2 linked regions of the Oryctolagus cuniculus genome follow. The protein of the gene in region 2 interacts with the protein of the main gene of each other region in a biochemical or structural test. Links are inferred from orthologs where the notes say so. Each region holds a gene or a part of one and is shown on either strand. Other genes may lie near its edges.

Region 1 (7,840 bases), on a different chromosome or scaffold from region 2:
GTCTTTGGGCACCTGCACCCACATGGGAGACCCAGAAGAAGCTCTTGGCTCCTGGCTTCGGATCGGCACAGCTCTAGCCATTGCTACAACTTGGGGAGTGAACCAGCAGATGGAAGACCTCTCTGCCACTGCCTCTCTGTAACTCTGCCTTTCAAATAAATAAATCTTAAAAATGACAAAAAAAAATGCATGGATTTCAAATTATTTCACACCAAACTCAAGTTATCTTTGAATTCCATTGTCCTGAGAACTTTTTAAAATGTCCCCGTAGGATTTCACGTACAAGAAATATTGGGAAGAGGCAAACTCGCAGACAAGAAGGGGATTAGGGGTGTTGGAAGACAGGTGTGGACTAACGGGCCTCGGGGCTTCTTTCTGGGGGTGATGAAAACGTTGTCTTGGATTAGATAATGGCCACCGCCACGCAAATACACTGGAAAACAGCAGGCTGTACAATTTAAAGGGGTGACTTCAGCTGCACATGAATTGTATCACAATTTTTACAACAGTCTACAACGGCTGAATACACGGCTAAACAGAGAGCCAAATGCCTTTTTAGTCGATCACTTCTTCCCAACTTCACCTACTCCATACAAGCAGCTGTCCGGCAGCTACTGACACTCTGGTAAACAGGTAGGGCCCGGGCGTGGTCGCCATTCCCACGGAGGGGTCCCGGTGCGCGCGCTGCGCCCCCCGTTCCTCCCACCCACTGCCTCGCAAAGCCCTGATCCAGATCCTCTTGCTGCACTAATGAATTAGCACAGGCCTCTGGACACCCGCAAGACGAGCTCAAACGTCTCCCCAGTGCTCCGCTCGGAATCTGAGCGGCGCCACGTTCCACAATCCCCAGCCGGAACCACGGAAACAGGACCAGCCTCCCCCTCCTCACTTACGCGCCTCCGGCAACGCGCAGTGCACGCAGGGAACCTCGTACGGCAGCACGTAAGCGACGGGAACTAGGGACGGGATGCGCAGAGGAAACTGGGAAGGAAGTGCAAGGGCACCCTGGGAAGAAGGTCTAATCCCAGCATCAGCCTCAGGGAGCCGGGAGGACGTGAGGGACAGATTTGAAAAAGCAGAAGGAGGAGCCGTAAATCAATTCGGATGGGGAGGAGAGCCGCAAAGCAGCCTGCTGGAAGACGTAAAGCAATTTAGTTGCATGATGAAGGTTTCTGTGTCGCAAACCGCTTTCTCGCCAACTTCTTACAGTCTGCTGCCGCCCGGGCTTCCGCTCACCCTCGTGGACCTGGCGAGCTCCTTCTGGGGCTGCGGCTTAATCGTAGGTCTCTTGGGGCCAAGTCTTCCCGCGCCATCACGTGTACTCAAGGTCCAGTTCCGGGCGGGGCGGGAATACCTCCCCAATAGCTCTCCCTGCACAATTGGGAAAAGCAATAGCGCTTTTAAGTCTTGTTGGGATGGTTTTTACATCCCTCCCTGGATTCCTCTCGGGACAGGCACAGCAAGCCAAACGTGAACACGCTTATTCATTCGTCACCTCCGGGCTCATCCATTCGTCACCTGGTGACGTCCTAAAAAGTGGCGAGGAGCCGAGGGGAAGGGCTAGGTGGAGACTTGGTGGAGGGGACGTCTACTTCTGAATGTCCCATGGCACAGCTCCCTGGACCTGGATGACGAGTGCACATCCTGTTAGCAATGCTCAAAAAATGGTTTTAGAAGTTGAGTCATCACACCCTAAGTACGGTACAGACGGTCATGAATGAGATTGTGGTCTGTGGAGGTATTCGTGGTAGGCGCAGAGCATCTGTACTGAGAACTCCAATAAAATCAGTGAACCCAACGGCTCACTATCCGGGCGGAAGTAATCCAGGGCCCCTACTCAGCTGGCGGGAAGCCGAGTGGGAACCCTGGAATCCCACGATGCGTAAATTATTTGTTGTTTCATAGACCATATTTCTTTTTTTTTTTTAAGGTTTTGTTTTGTTTGTTTTTTTTTTTTTTTTTTTTTTTTTTGGACAGGCAGACTTAGACAGTGAGAGAGAGACAGAGAAAAAGGTGTTCCTTACGTTGGTTCACCCCAAAATGTTCTCTATGGCCGGAACTACGCCGATCAGGAGCCAGGTGCTTCCTCCTGGTCTCCCATCCTCCACTGCCTTCCGGAGCCAGAGCAGAGAGCTGGACTGGAAGAGGAGCAACCGGGACAGAATCCGGCGCCGCAACCGGGACTAGAACCCGGGGTGGCAACCAGGACCAGAACCCAGGGTGGCAACTGGGACTAGAACCCGGGGTGCCAACGCCGCAGGCAAAGGATTAGCCAAGTGAACAGCAGCGCCAGCCTCATAGACCGTATTTCAAGTCAACCTAGAAAGAAAAGTTTATTTTTAAGATGGTGCTGAGACAATTATTTAGCTATTTAAGTTACAGTAGAATCTAATGGTGAAATGTTACACACAGATACATAAAACAAGATTTTAAAAAATAGACTAGAGAAGGATGCTCTAAGTATAAAAGTTGAAAAATAGGGGCCGACGCTTTGGCACAGAGGGTTAATACCCTGGCCTGCAGTGCCGGCATCCCATATGGGCGCTGGTTCAAGATCTGGATGCTCCTCTTCCAATCCAGCTCTCTGCTATGGCCGGGGAAAGCAGTAGAAGATGGCCTAAGTCCTTGGGCCTCTGCACCCAAGTTGCAGCCAGTTGGGGAGTGAACCATCGGATGGAAGATCTCTCTCCCTCTCTCTCTGTCTCTCTCTCTTGCTCTCCTCTGTGTAACTCTGACTTGCAAATTAATAAATAAATCTTTAAAAAAATAAAAATTGAAAAATAAGTCATAAAGGAAAAAGTATATAAATGTAACTACCTACCCAACCTTTTTGAAATTCCACTGTGCCAGCATTGTGGCATAGCACATAAAGCCACCACCTGCAAAGCTGACATCCCACATAGGTGCAGGTTTGTGTCCCAGCTTCTCCACTTCCCATCCAGCTCCCTGCTAATGCACCTGGGAAACCAGCGGAGGATGGCCCAAGTCCTTGGGTCCCTGTGACTCATGTGGGAGACCCAGGAGAAGCTCCTAGCTTCTGCATTGCCCTGGACCACTGACCATTGCAGCCATCTGGGAGTACACCAACAATGGAAGAGCCCCTCCCCCTCTCCCTCCTCTTCCCCCGCCCCTTCTCCCTTCCTCTCCCTCTCCCATCTCTCTCTCTCTCTCTCTCTCTGTCTAAGTTGAAATAATTTTTTTTTAAGATTTTTATTTAGTTTAAAGGCAGACCTAAAGAGAGAGGAAGAGAGACAAGAAAAATCATCCATCCGCTGGTTCACTTTCCAAATGGCTGCAACAGCTGAGTCTGGGCAAGGCTGAAGCCAGGAGCATGGAGCCTCTTCTGGATCTCCCAGGTGGCTGCAGGGGCCCAAGCACTTGGGCCATCTTCTACAGCTTTCCCAGGCACATTAGCAGGGAGCTGGATAGGAAATGGAGCAGCTAGGACTTGAACTGGTGCCCATTAACCCATTGTACCACAACACTAGCCCTACAAAGATTTCTTTCCAAGACTACCATGCACATTATTTATACCCTGAATATTTACTGGAAACAAAATACCACATTACAGACTCTATTAGGTATTCACCCATTAATGATCATGTTCAGAAGAATGTCTATTGACATGATAATGCTCAAGATCATTTTCTGTAGAAAAGGCAAGGCCTAAACTATGTATAAAAATACATCCATTAAAATAGCTAGTATTTAAAAAACAGAAAATAACAAGTGTTGAAGATGTGGAGAAATTCGAACCCTTTGTGCTATGCAGGTAGCAAGGTAAAATGGTACAGCCACTATGGAAATACAAAAAATTTAAAAATAGGACTACCATATATCAAGGAATGTCACTTCTGTGTGAATATCCAAGAGAATGGAAAGCATTCAAGAAATGTTTCCTAACAGCATGTTCATAACAGCATTATTCACAAAAGCCAAGTGGTAGAAGCAACCAAAGTTCCATTAACAGGTGAACTGAAAAACAAAATGTAGTAGATACACACAATTAAATTTCATTTTTATTTCTATTTTTAAATTTTTATTTGAAAGGTAGAAAGACACAGAGAGACTGAGACAGACCTTTCATTTTCCAATTCACTCCCCACATGCCCACAACAACCAGGGCTGGGCTAGGCCAAAGCCAGGAACTCAAAACTCCATCATAGTCTCCCACGTGGAACCTAAGTACTTGAGCCATCATCTGCCTCCTCCCAGGGTGAACAGGCCCTCCAGTATAGTATATGGATGTCCCAAGCAGCCTCTTAACCACTACTCATACAATGGACTGTTACTTGCTTTATAAAAGGAAGAAAATCTTGACACATGCTAAAACATTGATGAAATTGAGGATATTATGTCAGTGAAATAAGCCTGTTAAGAAAGACGAATACTGTATGATTCTAGTTATAGGAGGTACCTAAAGTAGTAAAAATCATAAAGACAGAAAGTAGAAGGGTGTTTGCCAGTAGCTAAGGGGAGGATAGAAGGGGGAGCTATTATTTATTGGATATAGAGCTTCAGTGTTATAAAAATATGTGAATTTTGGAGATTGGTTACACAGTAATATGAATGTACTTAACCCCACTGAACTGTACACCTAAGGATTTTTATGATGGTAAATTGTATGTTATGAGTATTTTACAACAATTAAAATTTTTAAAATTTTTTTAAAATTTATTTGACAGAGTTAGACAGCGAGAGAGAGAGAGAGACAGAAAGGTCTTTCTTTTGTTGGTTCACCCCGCAAATGGCCACAACAGCCAGAGCTGGACTGATCCAAAGCCAGGAGCCCAAGCACTTGGGCCATCTTCCACTGTTTTCCTAGGCCATAGCAGAGAGCTGGATCCAAAGAGGAGCAGCAAGGACTTGAACCAGCACCTATATGGGATGCCAGTGCCACACACAGGCGGAGGCTGAGCCTACAAGGCCACAGCACTGGCTCCAATAAAAATAATTTTTAAAAACTTGCCTAAAATTAAATCTATCAGAAAGCATCCAAAAAAAAATTTTTTTTGAGAGGAGAGAGAGAAAAGAGTGAGAGAGAGCTCCCATTCCTTGATTCACTTTCCAAATGCCCAAGATGGCCAGAGCTAGAACAGGAGCCGTGAACTCAGTCCAGGTCTCCCATGGGTGTGGAAGGAACCCAATCACTGAGCCCTCACTGCTGCCTCCCAGTGTGCTGTCCTGAAGGCACAACGTCATCTGTGTGGTGTCCCAGCACAGAATGTATAACCAAGTCACGAAGAGCAGACAAACGTAAAATGAGGAGCATTCAATTAACAGAAAAAATGTGTGTTAAGGGCGGGGCTTATTGGTTAGATTTGTTTATATGTACTGAGAGGCACTGCAGTCTTCAGAAGTGCCAGTATCGGGGCAGACACCCATGGCCCGCACTGGAGTACCTGAGTTCGAGTCTCAGCTGCAACTCCTAATTCCAGCTCCCTACTAATGCAGACATTGAGGGGCAGCAGCAGGGGCTCAAGTAATTGGATTCCTGTCACCCATGTGGGGGACTTAGACTGTGTTCCTGGCTCAGGCCTTTGGCCTAGTGCAACTCTGGATGTTGCAAACATCTGGGGAGTGAACCAGCAGATGGGAGCACTCTCTTCCTCTCTCTCCCTCTCCCTCTCCCTCTCCCTCTCCCTCTCCCTCTCCCTCTCCCTCTCCCTCTCCCTCTCCCTCTCCCTCTCCCTCTCCTCCTCCTCCTCCTCCTCCTCCCTCCCTCCCTCCTCTCCCTCTCTGTCTGAAATACATTTTAAATTTTTGTTAAATTAAAAATAACTTAAATCCAATGTCATAGTAATTTTGCATCATATATGTATTCATAAAAATAAGAGACAAAGGGCTGACATTTTGGCCTAGCAGATTAAGCGGCTGCCTGCAGTACCAGCATCCCATATGGCTGCTCCACTTCCCATCCAGCTCCCTGCTAATCTACTGGGAAAGCAGTGGAGGATGACCCAAGTCCTTGGGCCCTTGCACCTACATGGGAGAGACAGAAGTTCCTGGTTTCCTGGCTTCTGCTTTTTAAAAATAACATATGACCCTTGGCAAGTGTTATAAGTACAGGATACAGTATATTTTAGCCATAAGCACAATGATGAATAATAAATCTCTCAAACTTTCCCAGCTTGCATAACTGAAACTCTTTACCAATGGAACAGTTATCCTGCATTTACTCCTCCCACCAGCCCCTGTCAACCACTATTCAACCTCTGTTCCTTTGCATTTGACTATTTCAGATTCCTCATATACATGAATTTGAGCATAATGTGTCCTTCTGAGACTGGCTTAATTCATTTAATGCAGTGTCCCACATGTTCATTCACATTGTGATGTATGTCAGATTTTCTTCTTTTTAAAGCCTTAATAAGGCCGGCGCCGAGGCTCAACAGGCTAATCCTCCGCCTAGCGGCGCCGGCACACCAGGTTCTAGTCGCGGTCGGGGCACCGGATTCTGTCCCGGTTGCCCCTCTTCCAGGCCAGCTCTCTGCTGTGGCCAGGGAGTGCAGTGGAGGATAGCCCAAGTGCTTGGGCCCTGCACCCCATGGGAGACCAGGAGAAGCACCTGGCTCCTGCCTTCAGATCAGCGTGGTGCACTGGCCATAGCGCGCCGGCCGCGGCGGCCATTGGAGGGTGAACCAACGGCAAAGGAAGACCTTTCTCTCTGTCTCTCTCTCTCACTGTCCACTCTGCCTGTCAAAAAAAAAAAAAAAAAAAAAAAAAAAAAGGCCTTAATGATATTCCATTGTGTTTATAGACCACATTTTCTGGATCTGTGCTGCCGCTTAGTAGGCTAAACTTCCACCTGCAGCACCCTCATCCCATATGTTTGTGTTCCAGCTGCTCCTCTTCTGATCCAGCTCTCTGCTAATGGCCTGGGAAAGCCGTGGAAGATGATCCAACTACTTGGACCCTTTCACCCACGTGGGAAACTCAGAAGAAGCTCCTGGCTCCTGGCTCCTGGCTCCTGGCTTCCTATCAGCCCTATCAGCCTATCAATTGTGGCCATTTTGGGAGTGAACCAGCGGATGGAAGACCTTTCTTTCTGTTTATTCCTCTCTCCATCTGTGACTCTGCATTTCTCAAATAAATAAATAAAAATTTTTTTGACAGGCAGAGTGGACAGTGACAGAGAGAGACAGAGAGAAAGGTCTTCCTTTTTGCTGTTGTTTCACCCCCCAATGGCCACTGTGGCTGGCGCACTGCGGCCGGCGCATCGCGCTGATCCGAAGCCAGGAGCCAGGTGCTCCTCCTGGTCTCCCATGCGGGTGCAGGACCCAAGCACTTGGGCCATCCTCCGCTGCCTTCCCAGGCCACAGCATAGAGCTGGACTGGAAGAGGGGCAACCAGGACAGAATCCAGCACCCCGACCGGGACTAGAACCTGGTGTGCCAGTGCCGCAGGTGGAGGATTAGCCTATTGAGCCATGGCGCTGGCCAAAATAAAATATATTTTAGAAATAAAAAAGGCCACAAAATCTTATTTTTAAATTTTTGTTTCATTTCAGTATTTTTTTAATTTATTTGAATGGCAGAGTTACAGAAAGGAGACACACCCACAGAGAGAAAGCATTCTTCGTCTGATCCAGCTATCTGCTAATGCACCTGGAAAGTGAGCAGAAGATGGCCCAATTAGTTGTTTATTTATTTATTTATTTATTTATTTATTTTATTTATTTGAAATACAGTTACAGAAAGAGGTAGAGACAGAAACAGAGAGGTCTTCGATCTGCTGGATCACTCCCCAAATGGCCGCAATGGCCACAATGGCCAGAGCCAATCTGAAGCCATGACCCAGGAGCTTCTTCTGGTCTTCCATGTGGGTGCAGGGGCCCAAG
Region 2 (7,917 bases):
TCTACTGGTATATCACTAAATAAGAACCGTGGGGGGGGGGGGGTGGCACTGTGGCATGGCAGGTTAACCCTGGCTTGCAGTGCTGGCATCCATATGGGCACCAGTTCGAGTCCCAGATACTCCACTTTCAATCCAGCTCTCTGCTATGGCCTGGGAAAGCAGTAGAAGACGGTCCAAGTCCTTGGACCCCTGCACCCATGTGGGAGACCCAGAAGAAGCTCCTGGCTTTGGATAGGCTCAGCTTCAGCTATTGTGGCCATCTGGGGAGTGAACCAACAGATGGAAGACCTCTCTCTCTAACTCTTTCAAATAAATAAGGAAAAAAAAACCCATTGGGTTTTCTGCTGATTATATGATGGCACATCAGAAATATTAGGTGGGGGCTGGCGCTGTGGCACAGAGGGTTAATGCCCTGGCCTTAAGTGTTGGCATCCCATATGGATGCCGGTTTGGAGACCTGGTTGCTCCACTTTTGATCCAACTCTCTGCTGTGGCCTGGGGGTTGGGGGGGCAGTACTAGATGGTTCAAATCCTTGGACTCCAGCACCCACGTGGGAGACCCGGAAGAAGCTCCTGTTCCTGGCTTCGGATCGGCGCAGCTCTGGCCACTGTGGCCAACTGGGGAATGAGCCATCAGATGGGAAGACCGACCTCTCTCTCTCTCTGCCTCTCCTCTCTCTCTGCAACTCTGACTTTCAAATAAATAAATACATCTTTGGGGGAAAAAAAAAAGAAGAAGAAATGTTAGGTGTTTGCTAAATGATTATAGACTCTTTAGGACTATGAAAGGTTAAACTATTTTAGTTCTGTTTTCTTCCAGTAAGAGGAGCATGGGGGTTAGAGGACTATTAAAAGATATAGAGTGGTGACCCACTCTATATAAGCTCCATTCATGGTAGAGAAAGAACAAACAGATTAGGGAAGCACCTCTGGGGGCTGGCTTGAGGCATAGCAGGTTAAGCCTTGGCCCAAGACACTGGCATTCCATATGGGTGCCGGTTCGAGTCCCAGCTGCTCCACCTCCAATCCAGTTCCCTGCTAATGTGCCTGGGAAGGCAGCAGATGGTCCAAGTGCTTGGGCCCTCCACCCACGTAGGAGCCCCAGAAAAGCTCCAGGCTCTTGGCTTCAGGTCTGGCCCAGCTCGGGCTGTTGCAGCCATCTGGGGAGTGAACCAGTGGATGGAAGATCTCTTCTCGGCTCCTTTCTCTATAACTCTTTCAAATTAAAAAGAAAAAAAAAGGACGCCCCATCACAAGCAAGGATCATAGCTTATAGCCATACTTAAACTTCCAACAGGAGTGTATGGAATTTAAAGATCACTATTTTAGTCAATGCCAGACTTCAGTGAATAAGCAAATAAAGCAGGTAAATACCCTGATCATTCTGAAATCTTCAATTTAATTGTAAAGTCTATTCCTAAAATAAAATTATTATGCTAAAGTTAAGATTGGTCAGCCTGGGGCCAGAGCTGTGGCATAGTAGGTAGGCTAAGCCTCTGCTTGTGGCACTGGCATCCCAAATGGGTGTTGGTTTGTGTCCTGGCTGCTTCTCTTCAGATCCAGCTCTCTGCTTATGCCCTGGGAGAGCAGTGGAAAATGGCCCAAATACTTGGGCCCCTGCATCTGCACAGGAGACCCAGAAGCTCCTGGCTTCGGATCAACACAGCTCTGGCTGTTGTAACCATTTGAGTTTAACTCTGTAACTTTTTCTCAAGTAAATAAAATCTTGGGGCCAGCACTGTGGTGTACAGGGTAAAGCTGCCACCTACAGTGCAGGCATCCCATATGGTTGTTGGTTCAAGTCCCGGCTGCTCTACTTCCAATCCAGCTCTCTGCTATGGCCTGGAAAAGCAGAAGATGGTGCAAGTCCGTGGGCCCCTGCACCCGTGTGGGAGACCCAAAAGAAGCTCCTGGTTTTAGACTGGCACAGCTGTAGCCACTGCAGCCATTTGGGGAGTGAACCAGTAGATGGAAGACCTCTCTCTCTCTCTCTCTCTCTAATTCTGCCTTTCAAATAATAAAATAAACCTTTGAAAAAACTTAAAAAAAAAAAAAAAAAGATTGATGGGGCCAGTGCTGTGGTGCAGCGGGTTAAAGCCCTGGCCTGGGGCACCAGCATCCCATATGGGCACCGGTTCTAGTGCTGGCTGCCTCTCTTCCAACCCAGCTCTCTGCTGTGGCCTGTGAGGGCAGTGGAAGATGGCCCAGGTCCTTGGGCCCCTGCACCCACGTGGGAGACCTGGAAGAGGCTCCTGGCTTCGGATCGGCATGGGTCTGGCCGTTGCGGCCATCTGAGGAGTGAATCACTTGATGGAAGACCTCTCTCTATGTCTCTACCTCTGTGACTCTGTCTTTCAAATGAATAAAAAATAAATCTTAAACAAACAAACAAAAAAGATTGGTCAGCTTGCGGGGCTCGTGTTGTACAAAGCAATGCTGGCATCCCACTGAGTGCTGGTTCCAAGCCCCAGCTCCTCTGCTTCTGATACAGCTTTCTGCTAATGCACTTGTGAAGGCAGCAGAAGATGGCCCAAACACGGGGCCCTGCTACCCTTGGATGGAGTTCCTGGCTCCTGGCTTCTGCCTGACTCAGATGTGGCTGTTGTGGCAATCTGGGAGTGAACCATTAGATTGAAGCTCTCTCACCCTCTCTCTGTTGATCTACCTTTTAAATAAATAAATAAAACTTGAAAGAATTCTTCCTTAATACATACAAAATGTGTATATGTAAACAACTATGCATGGATTTCAAAGTTGATTTGCAACAAAATAAACTCCTTATTTTAAATTCCACTTCCCATGAACTTTCTGAGGTACCCTCTCTCATCTGAGGACAGTCTGACAGATAGGAATTCCAGGGCATGTTACAGAGCAGCAGGTTCAACACCCGCTTCCGAACACCTGCATCCCATATTAGGGTCAATCTTGTCTCCTGATTCGGCTACCTGCTAATGTGCTTGAGAAGGCAGTGGAAGACAACCCAAGTGCTTGTGCCCCCTGCCACACAAATGGAACACCAAGATAGAGTTCCTGGCTCCTTGCTTCAACCTGGCTCAGACCTGGCTGTAGCAGCCATTTAGGGGAGTGAACCACTAGATAGAGGATCCTTCTCTCTCTCTCTGCCTTTCAAATAAATAAGTATATTCTACCAAAAAAAAAAAAAAAAAAGATGAATTCCACACTTGGAGGCTTGACAGACAATGCTGGATGACCATCTGGTCTGGCTCAAGTACAGATCTCTTAGCAGCAGATTTAGCATACTGAGTTGATAAGAATGCCATGTATCAGAATCAGCTGAATGCAACAGAAAAACCTCCACTGTCTAATTTATGAAAATAGATTCACTGCAGAGCAATGGGGAAGGATGGTCATCTCAGTAAATAGTACTGGGCCGACTGGGTAGTCTTGCAGAATAAAATGGACTTGATCCCTCTCATATCACAGAAAAAAAAGTCAATTTCCAATTTAGATTACAGATTTAAATTTAAGAGGTAAAAACAATCATAACCAGACCAGGAGAAGCACCTGGCTCCTGCCTTCGGATCAGCGCGGTGCGCTGGCCGCAGCACAGCAGCCATTGGAGGCTGAACCAACGGCAAAGGAAGACCTTTCTCTCTGTCTCTCTCTCTCACTGTCCACTCTGCCTGTCCAAAAAAAAAAAAATATATATATATATATATACACACACACATATATATATAAAACCATGGGAAAGGCCGGCGCCGCGGCTCACTAGGCTAATCCTCCGCCTAGCGGCGCCGGCACACCGGGTTCTAGTCCCGGTCGGGGCGCCGGATTCTGTCCCGGTTGCCCCTCTTCCAGGCCAGCCCTCTGCTGTGGCCAGGGAGTGCAGTGGAGGATGGCCCAGGTGCTTGGGCCCTGCACCCCATGGGAGACCAGGAAAAGCACCTGGCTCCTGGCTCCTGCCATCGGATCAGCGCGGTGCGCCGGCTGCAGCGCGCCGGCCGCGGCGGCTATTGGAGGGTGAACCAACGGCAAAGGAAGACCTTTCTGTCTCTCTCTCTCACTGTCCACTCTGCCTGTCAAAAAAAAAAAAAAAAAAAAAAAAAACAAAAACCATGGGAAAGAGAAAGAATTCTTCAACTGGATACCTAGTGTGATAACCAAAAAGGAAAAGACTGAAAAACTGGGCTACACTTACACTCAGAACTTCTATCCCTCAAGATACCATTAAGAGAATGAGAAGTCAAATAAAGAAAATATTTACCATATAAAACTGATGGCTGTTAATCAGAATATAAAGAATGCCTTCAAACCAGGAGGAAAAAGATAATCAGTAGAAAAATAGGTAGAAATTGAATAGCCACTTCACAAGACGTCCAAATGGTCAAGAAACATATGAACAAATGCCTAACCTCATCAATATCAGGAAAGTTAAAATTTAAGCCACAATGAAATATTACTATTTACTAGAATACCTAAAAATAAAAAGAATGACGAAGATCAAGTGTTGGCAAGTATGTGGAAAAAGTAAACTCTCAAAACTTCTGGTGCATTCATACAAAATTCAAAAACAGCCGGTATTCGTTAATGGTATACACGGTTAACAGAAGAGAGAAAATAAGCGACAAGGGGGCAGAAGAGAGGCTGCTGGGGTGCTGACAGCATTCTGTTTGACATGCATGATTACACAGGTGTATTCATTTTGCAATAATCGCTGTATACGCTTGGGACGTGCGCGTTTCTATATTGTGTTTCAGTCCACTTTAGAAGGCTTTCTGCGTGCCAAATCCCACTTCGGAAAATTTCCTAGGCACCATATGAATGCTTTTCCATCTAAAGCATGAAAATATCTTTCTGGCAACTTAAGGTTGGTACTTTGTAAGCAGAAAATGGTGTCATGGACAGACGGAGCAGAACACGGAAATGCAGGCGGCGTGAAACAGCTGTGACTACACTGCTCAGGACAGGCGGCCGCTGGGACTCTCCACAACGAGCCCCAAGTCCGTTGGGCGCAGGCACGCCCCGGCTCCGCCATCTTCCGTTTTTTCACCAGCAGATCCCAAAAGCCGGCCGAGGGAGCACAGGCCCCTGTCTGCGCCCGGTCAACGAGAGGAGGAGCCGCGGCCGTGGAAACAGGCCAGGCCGACGACTTACACTCACCTGGGCCTAACAGCGTTGCTCGCTCGGGCTTCTGTCCGCTGATCCGGCGCACGCTCGACCCCCGGAGGGCCTCGGCCCCGACCCGAGACCCACTTGTCCACGCCTTGCTCCGGCCCTCTGCGCACAACCTCGGCGAGTTTCAAATCCAACCCCGTGACCAGCGGAAGGTTTCAGCTCCCCTCAAGACCCGGTCAACACAGCTGGTCCTGCGGGGCGGCTTTCGGAAGTCCCGCCAAAACCCTCAGGGCGGCGTCACGCACGCGTCGGCGTCGCGCCGCCCCGCCCCTCGCGCTCCGCCGGCCGCCCGAGCTCGGGGCCGTAGGGAAAGGGCTGAGGAGCTTGGCACCGCGTGGTGTTATGAGTTTCCCACCTCCCTTAAACGCAAGGACTAATCAAAACTTTCTAAATCGCCACCTTCTTGTCTTCACGAGATGGAGGACCACAACTCCCAGGAGCTGGAGTGGTGGGGCCGGGGCTGTATCTCCCGGGAGGCGCCGGTGGGCGCTCTGACTTCCGGGAGACCTGTTGGTTGTGTCTGTAGTTCTTTGAATGTGGGCTTTTGGTTCTTCTGGGAGCTGTACCCTGGAGCCGAGCGCTTTCCAGGCCCCCGACAGGGGTGGAGTTGAGGAATCTGTGGCAGATGGATGAAAATGGAGCTAGCAGAGGGGAGAAAGAAATGTCTCCGTGTCTGTCATCTGCAGTGACTTACTGGAGATTGGCAGGACCCCAGAGGAAGGAGGCGCAGAATTTGAGAAGGCAAACCTTACGGTTTACCAGGACGTTCGTCCTGTGATTCCGATTTTGAAAGCTGGGTAGAGTTTTTGGGTGAAGAAGCAAGCGGTGGAAGACATAAAAACAGTGCAGTGTGGGCTTGCGGATAAACTTTGTTCAAGGAATAATGTTGTCTGATGAGGAAGAATGGAGACCAGGAAAGTTACATTTAGTTCAAGCTAAGAGGTGTAAGGAGCTTTGGTCTTTACTTTGGGAAATAACGAAGTATTTCTTTTAAAGTCAGAGAGAAGGGGTTCTTCCATCCGCTGGTTCACTTTCTTTGGGCTGGGCCAGGCCAAAGCCAGGAGCCACGAACTCATCAGGGTCTCCCACGAGGGTGACAGGAACCCACATAATTGGACCATCATTTGCTACCTCCCAGGTTCATTAGCAGGTTGTGGAGATGAAGCTCCTGGCACCTGGCTTCAGCCTGGCCCAGCTCCTAACCTTAACGCCATTTATGCTGCGAACCAGCAAATGAAAGATCTATCTGTCTCTGTGTAACTATGCCTTTCAAATGAATAAAACAAATCTGAGAAGAGGAGGGGAACAGAGGAAGAACTTCATCCCAAGCACTCTGATGCTGGCATCCCAAGCATCCGCTTTTAGCTGCTGTGTCAGAACACTGACCCCCAAATAATTCAGTTTTAAGATGAGTCATAGGTTAGATTTACTTTCCCCCCTACTACTACTATTTTCTGTTTGTTGAGTGCTTTAAAGTTAACAGCTCACACCATCCTCTTGCCATCATCTCGTGGCATTAAAAAACAATTTCAAGAAGGAGCAGAGACAGCAAAAATCCATTCAGAAGCTTGTGCAACATTTCAGGCCAGAGTTGAAGGCTTAAGTTAGGGCATCGACAGAGAACAGATTCAAGAGCCATTCTAGACCTAGGAAAAATCTTTAGTAATTTAGTGATTAACTTAGATAGGGCCTAGGATTACAGTAAACTATTTTCCATACAAAAACTACCCACTTTCGCCCAACCCCTTGTTCATACTCTTTCAGCTCAAAAAGTCTACAAAACCACAGTCCTTTCCCCACCAGTGAGGTCACATGACTTTGACCTTTCCAGTCACAACTAAGCGACCAGCAGTGTTCATTTAATCCAAAATGGGCTATCTATATTCTTGCTCCTGAAGATTAAAATTGGGATTTAGAGTCAAGTCTAGTGAATAAATAAAATTCATTTTCTTTCTGTTTAGACCAATTACACAAATGGAAACCACCCCAACTGCATTCTGTCTCTTTTATTCTCCCAGAGAAAGGTAAGAACTATCATCAGTGGCAAATGGCAGTTGGACCAAAGCAACACCAGCTTCATACTCAGGACAAACAGCTTTGTTTCTTCCTCATATATTCAGAGAGCCTTCCCTAGTAGCTATAGAAACGATCCCTTAATGTAAAGTCTTCTCTAAAATGAACTGACTAGTTTTTAATCTCTTTCCTTCAAAACAATCCACTAAGAACTTGGAGGGGTCAGGGCTGTGACATAGTAGGTTAATCCTCCACCTGCAGTGCCAGCATCCCATATAGGCGCTGGTTCAGGTCCCAGTTGTTCCACTTCCGATCCAGATCTCTGCTATGGCCTGGGAAAGCAGTAGATGGCCCAGGTCCTTGGGCCTCTGCACCCATGTGGGAGATCTGGAAGAAGCTCTCAGCTCCTGGCTTTGGATTGGCACAGCTCTAGCTGTTGTGGCCAATTGGGAAGTGAACTAGTGGATCGAAGCCCTCTCTCTCTCTGCCTCCCCTCTCTCTCTGTGTAACTCTGCCCTTCAAATAAATAAATCAATCTTAAAAACAAAAACAAAAACAAAAACAAACAAAAAAAAAAAACAAAGAGGGGCAGGCATTTGTCTTAGCTGCTGAACCATCCATGTCCCATATCAGTACCTGGGTTTGCTGGCCAGTTCCAACTTCCTTCTGATGTAGTCCTGGGGAGGCAGCAGGGATGGCTCAAGTAAATGGGTACCTCACCTATGTGAGTTCCAGTCACCTGGATTTGGCCCTCAGCGTAGCCTA

Evidence for each region. The genes of interacting proteins can lie anywhere in the genome.
Region 1: the proteins of RAD51 (region 2) and RAD52 form a complex in vitro, tested with the Homo sapiens proteins (6 studies listed by BioGRID). The link is inferred for Oryctolagus cuniculus from reciprocal best matches to the Homo sapiens genes RAD51 and RAD52.

Annotation. Positions count from the first base shown.
Region 1 is NC_091440.1:98,758,535-98,766,374, forward strand, and holds the start of RAD52 (DNA repair protein RAD52 homolog), read right to left. Parts: upstream 5,001-7,840; 5' UTR 894-5,000; intron 1-893. UniProt on the Homo sapiens protein: Involved in double-stranded break repair. Plays a central role in genetic recombination and DNA repair by promoting the annealing of complementary single-stranded DNA and by stimulation of the RAD51 recombinase.
Region 2 is NC_091443.1:63,836,734-63,844,650, reverse strand, and holds the start of RAD51 (DNA repair protein RAD51 homolog 1), read right to left. Parts: upstream 5,387-7,917; 5' UTR 5,125-5,386; intron 1-5,124.